2 linked regions of the Tamandua tetradactyla genome follow. The protein of the gene in region 1 binds, or shares a complex with, the protein of each later gene. Links are inferred from orthologs where the notes say so. Each region holds a gene or a part of one and is shown in the gene's direction. Other genes may lie near its edges.

What was found.
Region 2: CACNB3 (region 1) and CACNG1 share a complex: the UniProt entries of both Homo sapiens proteins name them as parts of the calcium channel complex. The link is inferred for Tamandua tetradactyla from reciprocal best matches to the Homo sapiens genes CACNB3 and CACNG1.

Annotation. Positions count from the first base shown.
Region 1 is NC_135333.1:109,718,032-109,725,621, forward strand, and holds the start of CACNB3 (voltage-dependent L-type calcium channel subunit beta-3), read left to right. Parts: upstream 1-4,447; 5' UTR 4,448-4,473; coding exon 4,474-4,518; intron 4,519-7,590. UniProt on the Homo sapiens protein: Regulatory subunit of the voltage-gated calcium channel that gives rise to L-type calcium currents. Increases CACNA1B peak calcium current and shifts the voltage dependencies of channel activation and inactivation.
Region 2 is NC_135332.1:7,078,483-7,086,102, reverse strand, and holds the start of CACNG1 (voltage-dependent calcium channel gamma-1 subunit), read left to right. Parts: upstream 1-4,596; 5' UTR 4,597-4,650; coding exon 4,651-4,885; intron 4,886-7,620. UniProt on the Homo sapiens protein: Regulatory subunit of the voltage-gated calcium channel that gives rise to L-type calcium currents in skeletal muscle. Regulates channel inactivation kinetics.

The DNA of each region.
Region 1 (7,590 bases):
AAGAGTTAAGGCAGCCTTGGGCTACTCTTGCCCTTCAGTCTGCGGCGATGGGGGCTCCAAAGCCCTTTCCCTTTCTGGGGAGGGGGTTGAGAGGGAACCTGAGGGGAGGGGGAGCTGGAGAACGAGCGCCAGAGATTGGGATGAAGGGCAGTAGGAGGCGCCCAGATAAACAGCTGAGATCAGAGAGAGGAGGTAGAAGAAACGGGGAGGGAGATAGGCTGGAAGGAAAGGCGAAAGAACAGCGAAAGAGACTGACAGAGGCGCCAAGATAGGAGGGGAAAGGGAGGGAAAGAAAGGAGGAGGGAAGGGGGAGGGAACCGACAGGAGGGAGGGGAGCGGACCCGGCAAGAGGGAGGGGAGCAGGCGGAGGAGCCGAGCCGGCGTGGGGCGAGGCAAGGCGTGCAGAAAGCACCCAGTGTGCGGAGCGGCGGCCGGGTCCTGCTCCCGCCTCGGAGCCCCGGGCCCGGGGAAGGGGGAGAGGCCACTAGCCCGGTCTATGTCTTTTTCTGACTCCAGTGCAACCTTCCTGCTGAACGAGGTAAACGCGGGCCCCCTCCCTAATGGGTGGTAGGGGAGGGAGACCAGAGGAAGCCAGACCAAGGGTGGAAGGCAACCCGTAGAAGGGAGAAGCCAGAGCTGGCAGCTCCTAAGCATTAGAACTGGGAAGGGAGGAGAGGATTTATGGGAAGCTGGAAAGGGGCAAGATTAGAGGGAGTAGGGAGGGCTCTGCTGAACTCTCCTTGGTACCTCACCCGGAATTCCCTGGCGTCAGTTTAGCCCCTAGAATGCACTTGTTGGAGACTCCTGGAGGGAGGACTTTGCAGAGGTGTTGGCTCCTGCCTCAGTTTCCCCCTTCAAGGCTCAGGGATTAGGATCTACACAGCTTCCTGGTGCAATGAGAAAAGCTAGAATGTATTCTGGAGGCACCCAAGAACTCTACTTCCCAAACCTGGTTACTCAGACTTTGCCCCCTCTGTCCTGCTTCAATGCCTGGCTACTTGCCAGTCTAATCTCGTCTAGGCAGAGATTGGCAGAAGGAGTCCTCTCCTCAAGGCTTGGACCCTGATCCTTTTTTTTTTTTACATGGGCAGGCTCCAGGAACCGAACCCAGGTCTCTGACATTCTGACATGGCAGGCGAGAATTCTGCCACTGAGCCACCATTGTACCTCCCCTGATCCTTTTTGCCCTCAGCATTCTCCCCTTAGGCCCAGCCATGAGAAAGAAAAAAGATTAGGGATACTGACATGTCCTGCTACAGATAGGAATCACTAGGTTGGCCTGAGAATTAGAGAAGACATTCGTCTACCAAATGGTAGAGGGCATTGGTAGCAACCCAGAGATACAACAAGAAGAAAGGGAGGCTCCAAAGCACCAGGAGAACCCAGGGGATGGGCCAGGTGTGAGGAGATTGAATCCATCTCCTGGGATTTGTTGGCATGGCAATTCATGCCTCATGCGCAGACTTATGCACTATTGTCCCAGATGTGGATGAAGACAACAAGGTGTGTGAGGAAGGCGTACTGCTGATACAGGTCCATTGTTATTTGCAGTCTCCAGGACTCCCTGGGATTAGGGAGAGTACAAAAAAGAGATGCCCGCAGATTAGATTCAGGGATGGAGAGTGAAGCAGCCGACTCAGCATCTGTCTTCACTGGAATCCTCTCCTAGGAGCAAGCCCCTTAAGGGTCTTATTGTTTCATACTTCAGATCTCTTCTCTGCCCCCAGAAGAAATGGACAGAAGAAATGGAAGTGGCAGAGAGAATAAAAGAGGAGGATAGAGGGAATGCTATGAAAGTGGGAGAGGGCAAAGAAGTGAAAAGCCAGTGTGTTGGGGGATTCCCAATTTAATATTATATATTAAAATATATAATAACCTCAAATTATATATAATAATCCAATATATAATAACCTCAGGATAGGGAACTGTGAAAGCAAACTGCATTCACAATAGGGACTGGTCCCCTCAGCTGTAGGGGCTCCAGCCAAATCCAGTTTGCCAAACCTAGCAGAAGGAGGATGCTGGGCTGGACGGGGCTTGGACCATCCACAGGCACAGTCAGACTAAAGGCAAACTAAAAATAGTTTTAAGATGAGGCCCCTTCTCTCTCTTTTCCTTGCCAAGCAAGCACAAACAAGTAGCATAGATGGGAAGCCGACTGGTTTAAGGGTCTTCTTCTCTCCCACGCATAGGCCCTTCTACCAAAGAGCCCATGAACCTTGTCAAGTTTTGGTTTCCTGAGTCTCCTCTAGCCCTGAAACAGGAAGAGACTGGGAATTATTTAGAGCAAGATGTTCTATAAATGTTTGTGGAAGGAATAAATTAGTGAGCAGAGATGGGTAAGGAACATTTGGTGGTCCCTCTCCTAGACTCCAAGTCTCAATGCTAAAAGACCCCCCAGAAAGTCTAGCCCAACATTCTTTTAAGGAGCGGGAAATAGTCTCAGAGATAAGTAACTTGACTGGGATCACATAGTTTTTTAGTGGCAGAGCCAAAATTAATATGCAAGTATCTTAACTTCCAAACATCTTTTAGCTACTATACCATATACCCTTCCCACTATCCCTCCCCCATTCCCCACCCTCTGCTCATGGACAGAGAGGTCCCTATTCTAAACTCTTCCCTTCCTGTTCATCTTCCTTCAACACATTATTGAGAGGGAAAGAAGCATCACTAAATGGTTATTAAAGTGATAACAATAACTCCCTACAATTGGGCAGGGATTTTTAGTTTATAGAGGCTCTCACACCCCCATTTTCTTATCTCACCCTCATAGTGAGGTGTGAAAAACTGGGAATAGAGAAAAATCAAGCTCAGGGACAAAGGTCCAGACACTAGGAGGCCTAAGACCTCTCACCAAGTGTGTAACCCCTTGTCTACTTCTGTCATCCCCCTGAGGGGAGTGGGCTGGGCAGGTTGGTGGGTAGGCAGTCTAGACCATTAATCAAAATTTAGAGAACTAACTTTGCTCAGGAGATGAAGAAAGGAGGGAGCTCAATGGGGGCATCTTTGGAGAAATTTCTTCAAGATAAGGCCATGGCTCTGTCTCTAATCTTGGGGCTCCTCTGGAGGAGACTGACTGGTGCAGAGTGGTACATGGAATCTGAATACCTAGCCCTCATCTTTGCTAAGGAGAGAATCTAGTCTTACGCCAGTGCCAGTGACTCTGGGGAGACATGCCTTTTCTCCCTTCCAACTCCAGTGTGGCCAGGACCCTATTTTCTCTCCTACCCAAAATAACCCCCCTACCTCCATCCACTTGTTTCTTCCCCCCTCCCTTGAGGCTCAGCTAAGACAGCCTCTCCCAGCTCCAGTTCCCGAGGAGCTGGCACAGTCCTTGTCAGGGAAGTGAGGAAGGGAACCTCCATCCCTGCTAGACTAAAATGAAATCTGCCAGCCTAACCCCAGCTCAGGAAACATCATCACCACTACCACCACCACCATCTCATCCCACCCCCCCACACACCCACCCCCCACCCCGCCCCTTACCCTCAGTACGGGGTTGGGCAACACAACCCTTTGCTGAAGCATCTCTGGACTGAGGGGGGTGGGCACCTGTTGGGATAGGGGCTGCTTTCATGGCGTTGACTTCCGTCACCAAACTCATTTCTCACCAATTCCATTGAGAGGTTTGCTTTTGGAGTCTCCAGGACTGCCAGGGCCCAGACACACCGCCCTCTCACCTGGGGCCCCTCCCCCGTCTGCAGCTGTCCCTCCCCCACGCCTCTTCTGTTTTCCTCAGTCTCCCCATTTCCCTGTCTCCCCGCTTCCTCCCTCTGCTTTTATCCCTTCTTTTTCTCTCCTGACTCCCGGTAACCTGCGCCCTCTCCTTTCTCAGCTCGAGTCTCGTCTCCCTCCCAGTCTCGGTGTCCCCTCCCCTCCCCCGCTCCAGCCCTTTGTTTCCCGACGGAGTATTTCCTGGGTTGCCTGGCGTCTGGGTCTCCGCATCTCTCCTCGCCCCGCCTCCTCCAAGCCTGGATCCGCCCCACCCGCTGTCTCTCCTCCCTTTCCTCCCCCTCCTCCCCGCCTCCCCCTCTGCCCCATAGGTGCTTGGGGACCCACCTTCTACCCAGCTCCGGTCTACTACCCTCTCCCGGCCCAGTCCAGAGCTCCCCCAGTGGCCAGCGTCCCCCACCGCCTACCCCGCCTTCTCCCGGGGAGGGGAGGCAGGTGGGCGGGCACTATTGTTGTAGGAGCCGGCGCCAGATTCCTCAGCCGCTCCTGGGGTGGGACCAGCGGGGTTGGGGGGGAGGAGTAGGGGGAGCGGTGATTTGAGCTGGGAGCAGCTGGTCTTCGCGACTCGCTGCCTGCTTCGCGCTCTCTCGCTCGCCGCTGCCGCCGCCGCCGCCGCCGCCGCCGCCCGCCGGGCTGCGGGGCTCGGTGGCATCTCTCGGGCGCGGCCGCTGCCTTCGCCCCTGCGTCCCGGCCGCTCCCGCCCCGGCGCCGCTCGCTTCCCCCCACCCGGACTCCCCCATGTATGACGACTCCTACGTGCCCGGGTTTGAGGACTCGGAGGCGGTGAGTGCCCACGGTGAGGGTGGGGGTGGGGAGTTGGGATGGCACCTCCTCTCCTTTGGACCCTTCCCCCAGTTCAGGACTTTGAAAAAAAAAAAAAAAAAGCCTCAGTGGCAGGGCAACGGTGGGGGCGCTGTAGGAAAGTGGGGAGGTGGAATTTCATGCCGGGGGCTCCCCAGTGCCCTAGTCCTAGACCAAGGGCCATCGGATGCGAGCAAGTAGGGGGCAGTTTGGGGAAAAGGCTTGGGCAGGTGGCTCTCAAGCATAGAACGGGAGGAGTGGAGGGAGGAAGGAATGGAGGAGTGGAGATAAATGGCACAGATGCTTTAGAGAGGGCCGACGCAATGTCTAGAGTTCGAAGAGGAGGATTTATGGGATCTAAACACAACAGCTACAGGAGGAGCTGGGGCTCTTGAGGAGGGGGACATTCCAGACCAGTGCCCCAAGTCAGCAAAAAATAAGGGAGCCTGGGAGAACATCAAGGAGTCTGGTCCTAGCCTTTTCATAAAGAGGGATCATAAAACTTGAGAACCTCCATTATCCCTTCCTGCCCTCCATGTCTGCGCATTGCCTTATCTCCTCACACTTCTGTAGCCCAGCTTCTGACCAAGGTTGAAATCCAGGCACCCACTACATAGGTGGGCTGGTTGACCAAGCTGGATCCATTCCACAGCTCCCTGCTGAGGCTTCCTCATTAGCAGTAGGCACCCTGAATCCCTGCTCAGCATGGAGGGCCCGGAGGTGAGGCCAGAGAAGCCGAAGGCCTGAGGTTGGAGAGGAAGCTCTTTGCTCAGAGAACCAGGCAACTAATAAATATTTAATTCTCCTCTTTGCTTTTATCTCCTGACCCACTGAGACAAGGCAGTTCATTAGGCAGTGATTCCCGGAGCTCAGAGATCAGGGACAGGATCTAGAAAGAGGGGGCATGGATGGGGAGCAGCTTTTCAGACTCCTGGAGTTATCAACCTTCCCTTAAACCTGAAAGAAGGTCTCCTTGGAAGAGGACCACCAGATAGATGTCTTAGAAGGGACCCCCTGATTGTTGTGAAGGGTAGAACTGTATGGTTACCAACACTACTGGGTCTAAAAATGAAGTGTATTCAAGCTCTTTCCTATCTCTTGATGCCAGGCTCAGGATAGATGAGTGCTAGGGCTCAGAATAGGAGGCTGTCAGTCCTTTTCTGGGATTGGGCTCCGGCTGGGCCTAGTTCCCCATTGGGCCTCTGGGGCTAATTACCTAGCAGCTAGAGCACATCATTTTCAAGGCCCGTGTCTGAAAAATGAAGGGACAGCTGGCATGGCCCAGGGTGCCAAGGGGAGCTTGAAAAAGGGACCTTTCTGTGGGGCTGGAGGGGAGCCGGGAGGTTCTTCACATCCCTAGAGAGAGAAGGAAGGAGCTGTTGCAAGGTGGATGGCGTTTGAAGGCTGTGTGAAAACCTATTGCTCCCTTCCTGCCCCTTTCTGGTTCCTAGATCCCCTGCCCCCACTTCCCTTTCTCTTGCCTGGCTCCCTGCTCTCCCTGAGGCCCCCTCTGAAGAAGTAGGAGGGAGATCAGACTCGAAATAAATCTACCGGCTCATCTCCCTCCTCGCCTTCCCCCGTGCCAGGCAAGAGTGGAGCTGCAGCCTGCCCACACACTCACCAGGCAAGGGGGGCACCACCAGGGCTCTGTGCCAACTCCTGGCAGCTCCAAAGTACTGAGCCTGTGACTGTTTTGGCAAAGCAGGAGATGGGGGAGACAAGACCCCACAGTGTACTTGGAAGAGGAGTCTTGGCCTCCCTCAGTGACGCCAGAGCATCAGAGATGAGTGAGCCCTGAGGACTTGGGAGTAATGAAGAGGGGGTTCCATTCTGAGCACAGCTTATTTAATATTTAAGGAGAGATCCTGTCATTCCCATCCTAGATGGGAGGCCAGGTAACCCTGATGTCCCAGGCGGGGACATTAAGATTACTATTAGGTTGACAGCCTAGAGGACAGGGAGTAAAGGTTAGACTCCTCTCCCAGCTCAGTGCTAGGCATCTAAGAGGTACCTGATATTAATTTATCCTGCCTTTCCTCCTGTCTCCGAGCCTATCAGCCCCTATCTACTTCACACAGCCGTATCCTGCAGAGGTATCTCTTTTATACTCAGACCCCTGGGAAAGACGTCCCTCCTACTGACAATGCATAGATCCTTCCTGGGGATCAGCCTCTCCTTCCTGCTGCCAAGCAAGCCTTATTTTACTCTCATGAGAAATGAGAAAGAGCAGACAGACTCAACTCCTCTGTAAAATTAAGACTTTCCCCCCCTTGTGCTATCTTCATGCGTTTGGTCTACCACAGATGTTATCTATAGCTTAAGCTCTAGGACCTAGGCTAAGACCAAGCTGACAAGCCCTCCTGCCCAAGAGACGACTGGGGCAGAGGCCAAGTGGACAGTAGGTATGTGTTCCCACTGAGAATCTGGTCTCTGCTGCCTCTTGCGAGGTACTTATGCACAGAGAACTTGGGGAAATATTCCTCGGTCTGAGAACATTCTGGACACTGGACTAAAGTTTCTTCCCCTACACACACACACGAACAGCTTATCTAGACTCCTACCTTGTTTGCCACCTGTACTTAGAATTGAGGGAAGCATCATTTCAGTCTTCTGCCCGTAAAGAAGGGAAACTAAAGTAGAAAACAACATTCCTTTCTCCCTAGACTGAGGAGAAACTCAGATATCCTGACTTCAGGTCTCTTGTCCCAGGGTCCAGCTTCCCTTTTTCATTTGTGTATCTCCCTCATAGCCCTGAAGATGAGCTCTGGGGTTCTCCAAATACACCCTCATTGCCCTTCGTATGGGCAGGATTCAGAGACTCTCTTTGCTTTGCTTACTAGAGACCCTCCCCCTGCGTCCCCAGGGTCTGACTCTTTGGCTGGGTTGCCTGGCACAAGCCTGGCCCTTCTCCAGGGCCTGATCTCCCCTGGGCTTAGGGAAGGAGTTGGGGGGAATGTAGGCCAGGTGGTAGGCAGGGCCCAACCTCACCCATGCCCAGGGAGATAGCTTTGTGTTGCCTTCTCAGTCTGTGTTTTGTTTGCTGCCCACACTTGG
Region 2 (7,620 bases), on another chromosome or scaffold:
GTGTGAATGCATGTCACAATCACCAAATAATATTTCTCTGGCTCCACTGCTACCCATTCTGCAGGAAAGGCATCAACACTCGGAGTCCTCTTAAATCATTCTCAGGGTGAGACTCACACTCTGGATGGCGACGGGGTTTCCAGGGGCTCGTCAAACTCGCCCTGTCCCGGCTCAGGGAGGGCCACTCTTTCCCTTACATGCTGGTGAACTCACTGGCGAGACGTCCCTGTGGCTGCCCAGGCCATGGGCCCCACCGCAGCGGACGCCCTACTCACTCACCTCAGCCCCCGAATGCTTCCGGGGACACTCACGTCACTGTGCTTCATTGTCACTCTCGTCCCACGGAGCAGACACTATGTCTTCTCTGCTTTGCAGGCAGAGAGGCTCAGCAGGGTTAAACATCTCCCACAGGGCTCAGCAGCGGCAGAGCTGGGGCTCAGGGCTGCGTCTGTGCCTATGCCCCAAGCCCCTGTCACTGACGTACACTGGCCTGGCGCCCTCACACATCCCAGGCACCGCCTGAATGGTTACTACTTCTTCTTTTTTCTTTAAATTGACTATTCTATTTTTCTTTTTAAAATATTATTATTGAGAAATCTTCAACATATATACATTCTATAGATGGTGTACGATCAATGACTCACAATATCATCACATGTATTCATCACCATCATTTTCTAGAACATTTGCATCACCCCAGAAAAAGGAATGAAAAGAAACAAGAAAAAACTCATACCATACACCTTACCCCTCCCTCTCGTTGACCTCTAGTGTTTCCATCCACTCTATTTCTTTTACTCTTTGTCCCCTCATTATTTATTTATTTATTAATCCATATTTTTTTACTCATCTGAAATGGACTATTCTTATTTTGGCCCTGCCCTGAAGAAATAGTATTAACGAAAGCACGGTTTGGATACTTCCAATCCCCATTCAATAAAATGTAAATGTCTTAAAATTTAAAAAATGCACGTGCCTGGGCAACCCCCATGTCCCACAGCGAAGGCGTTGTGGGTGTTTGATCTCGTAGCGTTCTTTGCACTGCTGAACTTTAGTAAATATGCTTTTACTCTCCAGCTGCTCCGCAGACACCTGCAGGCCTCCCAGGGCAGCTCTGGGAAAGCCTTGCAGGGCGGGGGGAGGGGACAGGTGACACGCTGTGCAGGGGCCCCCAGGGGATGGAAGTGGGGGCAGAGAGCCAGAGGGCAACGGGGGATCTGAGGTGGAATGCGGAGGTCAGAAGGTGGAGGCACATTAGGATGGCCCCTCGCTTTTTTCGAAATGGTATTTTAAATCAAACACCCAAAGCCATGCTTGAGCCTATTTAAGCCTGAGCTCAAAATCGAATCAGCGCATTACCGAAGGGCAGTTACTTGGCTGTCGGCCTGACGTGGCCTGGCCCCGGCTCCCACCGAAGCCTCCAGATGAAGCTTCCCAGGGCAAACGAAAGGGGTTCATTTCGGATGCGCACAACACAGACAACTCCCAGATGTCCACTTTGAAACGATCTGTAGACAATGTCAGCCCTCCGGATGATGCTCCCTTTGACCTTGACATTCCAGAGGTCGCCTGGGCCTCCTGACAGCCCTCAGCATCTCGAAGCAAGTTAGTCCCTTGTCCCAGGTGGCCCCAGGTCTGCCCCAGCTGCCATCTCTTCTGTCCCTCTGATCTTAAAGCCAGGTGGAAATGTCTTTTCAATAACATAGGGCAGTAAATTATTTGTGCCTCTGTTTCCTTCTTTTTCTTACTGTATCAGTCCTTCTGATCAGTCCATCCATCCATCCATCATTCAACAAACGCTGATGCAGAGCCCATCCTGAGCCGGGTGCTGTGCCTCTCATCCTCCATACCCCCCAGAAGCTCACAGCCCATTAGGGGAAAGTGATCCTTCTGTGGGCCATAACTAACACCATCATCCCAGCCTTCCTGGAATGATTGCCTCCCGGGGACTAAGTGCATTATTTCTAATGCACCCACCAGCCCCCACGCCAAGCGCCAGCGCCCTTGTTTCACAGATGAGGATAAGGCCGTCTGGAGAGGTTAGGACTCGCTCGAAGCTCCACGGCTGGAACACGGCAGAGCAGGGACTTCATCCCGGGACTGGCTGGCGCAGGCACTGATGGGCGGGTGGGTTTCCATTTGCTCACCGCCCCCCACGCCCTCCACCCTGAGGTGCTGGAAGAGAATGATCCCTGGGTGGGAGGGGTGAGGGGCGGGTCATCCCCCAGCCCCGGCTCCCAGCCAGTGGCAGTGGCCAATGAGCCCCTTCCTGGCGGGCAACGCCCTGGGGGAGCAGGCAGCCTGGCTGTGGTTCTATGAGCAGACAGGAGTTTTTAGGAAACTGAGGCTGAAAGTTGACCTGCCTACACTCTCTGAAGCTGCCAGCTGTCTGGTGAGATTTGCAAAGATGAATTCCAAAGGAAGAGGCCCCCCATCTTTAACGCTTTTGCTCACTCGGTTGGAGGACAAAAAAGTTCACATGCAGCGCAGACTTGCCCCTAGGTGAGGAAATTTGCTCTCTTGCTGCTCTCACGAGATGGTCTCGCGTGGCTAACCCTGAGTGTCCCCCACGCCAGGCCCCACCTAAGACACCTCTAAGACGTCAGAGGCTCCCAGCCTTGGGGAGCTTAAGGGGCTCACATCCACCTCACTAAGAAATTTAAAATACATTTTTATTTTTTCAGATGACACGTCAGTTACTTGCATGTGGAAATTAAAATAGCTTCTTTCTAGATATTCTGTCATCAAACCCCAGAACCTCATCCTTTTGCTTCCCTGCCCTGCTTTGCTGATGCAAGTGGCAGGCACATGGTGCGTCTGCCTCAGGCTCTCCAGCACCCCCCGAGGACCCTGTTTCCCGGCGGGACTTTGCCTGGGCTTCTTCTGAGGCCCAGCCCACGTGGGCGGCGTGAACAAGCTCCGAGCTCCGGGGCTGCGGGGCTGTGTCCCCAGGATCTCGGAATTCTCTTGGAGGCAGCCACTCCCCACGCTGAAGCAGGGGCGGTGACAGGCTTCAAGAAGTGAGTGAGTTCACTGTGATGGATTAGCTCCCCCTGGAAACACAGAGGCGGGGAGGGTGGGAAGAGAAGGGAAGCAGAGCTGAGAAAGGTTGTGAGAGAAGCTCTTGGGCGATAAATAATCCAGATGGGGAGAGAGAGCGGTGCCCACGGGGCTGGTTTTAGCACAGGGATTCAGATGCAGGTGAAAGAGCACAGGCTTGCAGCCAGAGCCCAGGATCTCAGCTCAGCTCTGGAGCTTGTTGACGGATAGTCTGGGCTCGTCACAGCCTCTCTCTGGGCTGCAGATTTCCTTTTCAGTCACTTCATAGATTCAAGATTCATAGAGCTTGAAGTTTCCTCCCAGCTCCAATCATTGCTTAAGGGCGTGGACTCCGGGTTCACCACTTACTAGCTGTGCAACCTTGCATAAGTTACTTTGTGTCTCTGAGCCCGGTATTGTCATCTATAAAATGGGAGCTACAGCTGTCCCCACCTCATGGATAAGTGTGACAGTCGGCTGTGATGACGTGTGCAGGGTTTGGTGGAGTGCCAGGTTTATAGTAAGCACTCACCAAAGAGGAGCTAGGGTTAGTGTCATTTCCGTTCTCAGCACTCTGTGTTCTCACAACCAGACCCCTCCAAGACTTGGAAGCTCAGGATCCCACTCAGCTCAGGGCTCTATTTCTGGCCACACCTCCGCCCCTTGGACACACCCTAGAAGAGCCACCTGCTGAGCTGAGAAACCAGAGCCTCAAGCCCCAGCCAGGGTGGGGTGGGGGGCTGTGGACAGCTGCCCTCCCCGCCACTGCGGTGCTCCCAAGCTTTGACGTGGTCTCTGGTGTAACTGCACCCCCATTAGCCTCCTGGAAGTCTTGGTAAATGGACCAACTTCTGTGTTTTAGTTTATTTAAACACATTTATTTTGTAAAGTCATTACCTGCCATTAATGGCAAGTACAACTGAAAAAGTACAACGAAAGCAGATGGACAGACAAGTTCATCTGAATTCTTAGTTTTTGGGGGGGCCACTCTCTGTTTCAAAGGACGCTTTGCCAATGTCAAAAGGTTGTTCAAGACCTACAGCCCCCAAACTGAATTGTTATTCTGGGGCCCCAGAAGGAATGGGAAGGGAAATGGAGAGGAAATACCATCCTCAGCCTGGGGTCTGTGCTGGGTGATGCCCTGCCCTGGGGGCGCCTGGAACCGTCCCTTGACCCGGGAGCCACAGTGGGCTTGGGGCTAACGGCCTGGCCTGGGAGAGGGGGCCCTGGGCGGGGGGTACCCAGGATGTCCCCTAGGCCCGCAGGGCGAGGACCTGGGCTGAGGGGGGGGGCTAGGCAGCCCCGGCCCAGCCAGGTCCCTTTCTCCCCCAGCCCCGAGCAGGCAGAGCCCCGCTCACCAGCCCCCTCCCCAAATCAGGTCCTCGCCCTGCAACCTGAGCCGACAGCGCCCTGCGCGCGCCTGGAGCTGGGCATTACCAGACCCGTCCCTCAGGCCCCTGACGGGGCAGAGCAGCTGCCCGGCCGTGCCCCAGCCCCCGCAGCCCCAAGGCCGGCCCCCTCTGGCTCAGCGGGGACACTAAACTTAGCTCGGGCCGGGCAGCCGCGGCCGCCCCAGTCGTGCCCGGAGCACCCCATCCCTCCACGGCCACCATGTCCCAGACCAAAGCGCTCAAGGTCCGCGTGACCCTCTCCCTCATCCTGGTGGGCGTCGTGCTGGCCCTGGTGGCTGTGGTGACGGACCACTGGGCCGTGCTGAGTCCCCGGGTGGAGCAGCACGACGCCGCCTGCGAGGCCGCCCACTTCGGCCTCTGGAGAATCTGCACCAAGCGGATCGCCGCGCGCAGCAGCGAGGACGAGAGCTGCGGCCCCATCAGCCTGCCCGGGGGTAACGTACCCGCCCTGTCTGCGCTGTCCCCTCCTGCCCTCCCCTTGTCCCCCTGGAAAAATCAAAAAGAGCCAGGTCTCTCAGCCTCGGGACAGAGCAGACATCCAACCCTTCTAGCCCAGGAAAGAGGATCTGAGTTATGTCTGTCCGTGCTGACAGCCAGAACTGGGTTGGGAAATAAGGGCATTTGTCTCCAGCTATTTCTGTCTTGCTGAGGTGTGGGGCTTTTCACCCAGAAAATAGGGCTGGACAGACAGGGCAGATGGCTCAACAAGGAAACTGTGGGTCTTACAGGTGGGGGACTTCTGGTCCCAGCAGCGGTCACCCTGCTGGGCCCCCCTCTCTCCCTACAGAGACAGGCTGGGTGGCTCTGTGTCCTCAGGCTTGAAGGGGCCTATGGGGCTGGCAGGTTCCCTCCCGGCCTCCAGGCAGGGCTGGACACAGGAATGGCTGTGGGATGTCTGGGCCCCATGCAAAATGAAAATGCAGGGTTCCTGGTCCCAAAGTGATTAAAAATTTCAAGATGGCGCCAGGAGAGCATTAAATGAAGCGTGAGACCCTTCTGAGCGTGGCCTGCAGGAACCACCTGTGTCACGTGCCCCTGAAGCCGTCCCTGGATATATAGATGAGCCACCTGCCCTTTTCTCAGAACTTCAGTCCTTCCCTACAGCCTCCCTTAGCTCTGGGCCGTAATTTCAGTTCCCAACGAGTGACTGAACCACACGTTCAGGCAAGAATGTAAGGTATTAGAGTGACTGGTCTTGATTCTGCAAATGGGGAACCCTCTGTATTCACAGGAAATGCGCCATATGTTAGAAGAGAACCAGAGACCTGTCTGGCCACACAGTGTTCATAGACCCCTGAATGAATACAGGCTGGGGTGAGGCAAAGGCCTCTCTTGGCCTCCTCCTTCTCTGTAAAATATGGGTCAGCAACCCAAGTCCCTTCCCATCCCCACAAACATCCTGCCAGTGTGACAGTGGACAAGGGTGTGGGGCATCCCGCCTGATTTTCAGAATTACTTCCTGTCTTATCAGACTGGATGTTCCTTGAAACTTGCCTTTTAAGGAAGTCAGTGCTGAGTCTCCAAATATTTTGCAGTCTATGCAAGGCATGGGCACAGAAGCCCAAATCCCTTCTAGCTGCTCTCCTTTCTCTCCCTTTCCCTCCTGCTTGCTCCAAGAAACCCCTGCCTTGCTCACCCCCACTAGATGCCTGGAAGATTCATAAATACTCAGCTGTCTTGGAAAAACAGAGACTTGGGGCTGAAGGCCTTAACAGGCAAGGGCATGTGTTTGAAGGGTATCATATAACACTGAAGCCTGTGCCCCTCGCCACTGCTGAGCACACCCTGTAAACAGATGTCATCCAGACAACTCACCCGGGCACGGCTGGGCAGGGCAGGGCAGGGCAGGACAGGGCAGCTTCTTCAGGAATCATGCATGGAGACACTTTGTCATGGTTCTGCCCACCAACCTTGGAGACATGCCTTTTAGAGGCTGACGAGTTCGTGGGGCAGATGAGTGAGGGAGTGTGAGCACAGTCCACTCAGGAAGGGATGGCTTAGCGGTTGGGGACCAGTCTTTCCATGGGGGAGCAGTGGGCGTGGCGCAGCCTGGTGCCCGAGCAGGGCCCACCCTGACGCCTTCTTGCCCTAGTCCAGCTGTGAATCCAGCCTCCCATGCTAGTGACACCAAGTGCCACCTTCTGCCCAAGAAACTTCTAAAGTATGTTTCTGCCACGCTGCAAGGAGACATCTTTTTCCTCTCCGATCCACCCTTCCCATGCTCCCTGGGACATTCTTTTCCAGGGAAAGGAAAAGGCTTCACCCGTGGTCTCTCATTCGTCATTAATAGCACAACTATTATATTAACAACAGACACCAAGGTAGCGCTGCATGTAGAGCATTGTTCTAAGTGTTTAAGATATATTAACTTTGGGTGACTTCAGACAAAAATGGCGGAGTAAGGGCCTCCAAAAATCCCTTCTTCCAGAATAGCAATGAGAGCACAGGCAAAAATGGTCAGAATCTACTTTTTCAGATTTCTGGAAATTAACCCCAGTCTTGCAATGATCTGGGGAACATTCATTCAAGAAAATCGGCTGAATCGATAAAAACAGGAAGCTTTGTGGCGTTTTAACTTGCCCTAATCCCATACACCCCAACCCAGCTCCACAGTAGCCTTGAAAATGAATATTCTGCAATCTCGGTGAAAACCAGCAGCCCGGCAGCCACTGCAGGGAGCAGAGGTGGTTGGAATGCCTGCCAAACCCAAACCCAGTGAACTGTCACTCTTTGACCTGTCAGGTGGTTCCCTGGGAGACCCCACTTGCAAGCTATCTTTACTTGACCTGGTTCTGTGTTCACCCAGTGTCAACAGTCTTTTTCTAAAGAACATTTGTTAAAAACAACCAGAGGCGATTGTTTAACATCCCAGCTGCCTGAGGCAGTAGATAGTAGTTGGAGAAAATAATAGACTAACCAAAAAGTCTAAAAGGAGAAGTTGGAGAATGGGATGTCCATAGGGAGATTTGAAAAGCTCCAACATATTTCTGGGAATCTAGAAAGCCACGCACCTTTGTAGGCCAGTGTGCGCTCAGGAAGACCTGAGAAGGCCCCATGCTCTTACCTCTAGCTGATGCTGAGGCTTGGCACAAGCAGGAAGTAAAGTCTAAGACAGTTGTAAATGGCCTGGCTGAATGTTGAAGGTGTGCCCTCAGCATGCAGACAGAGC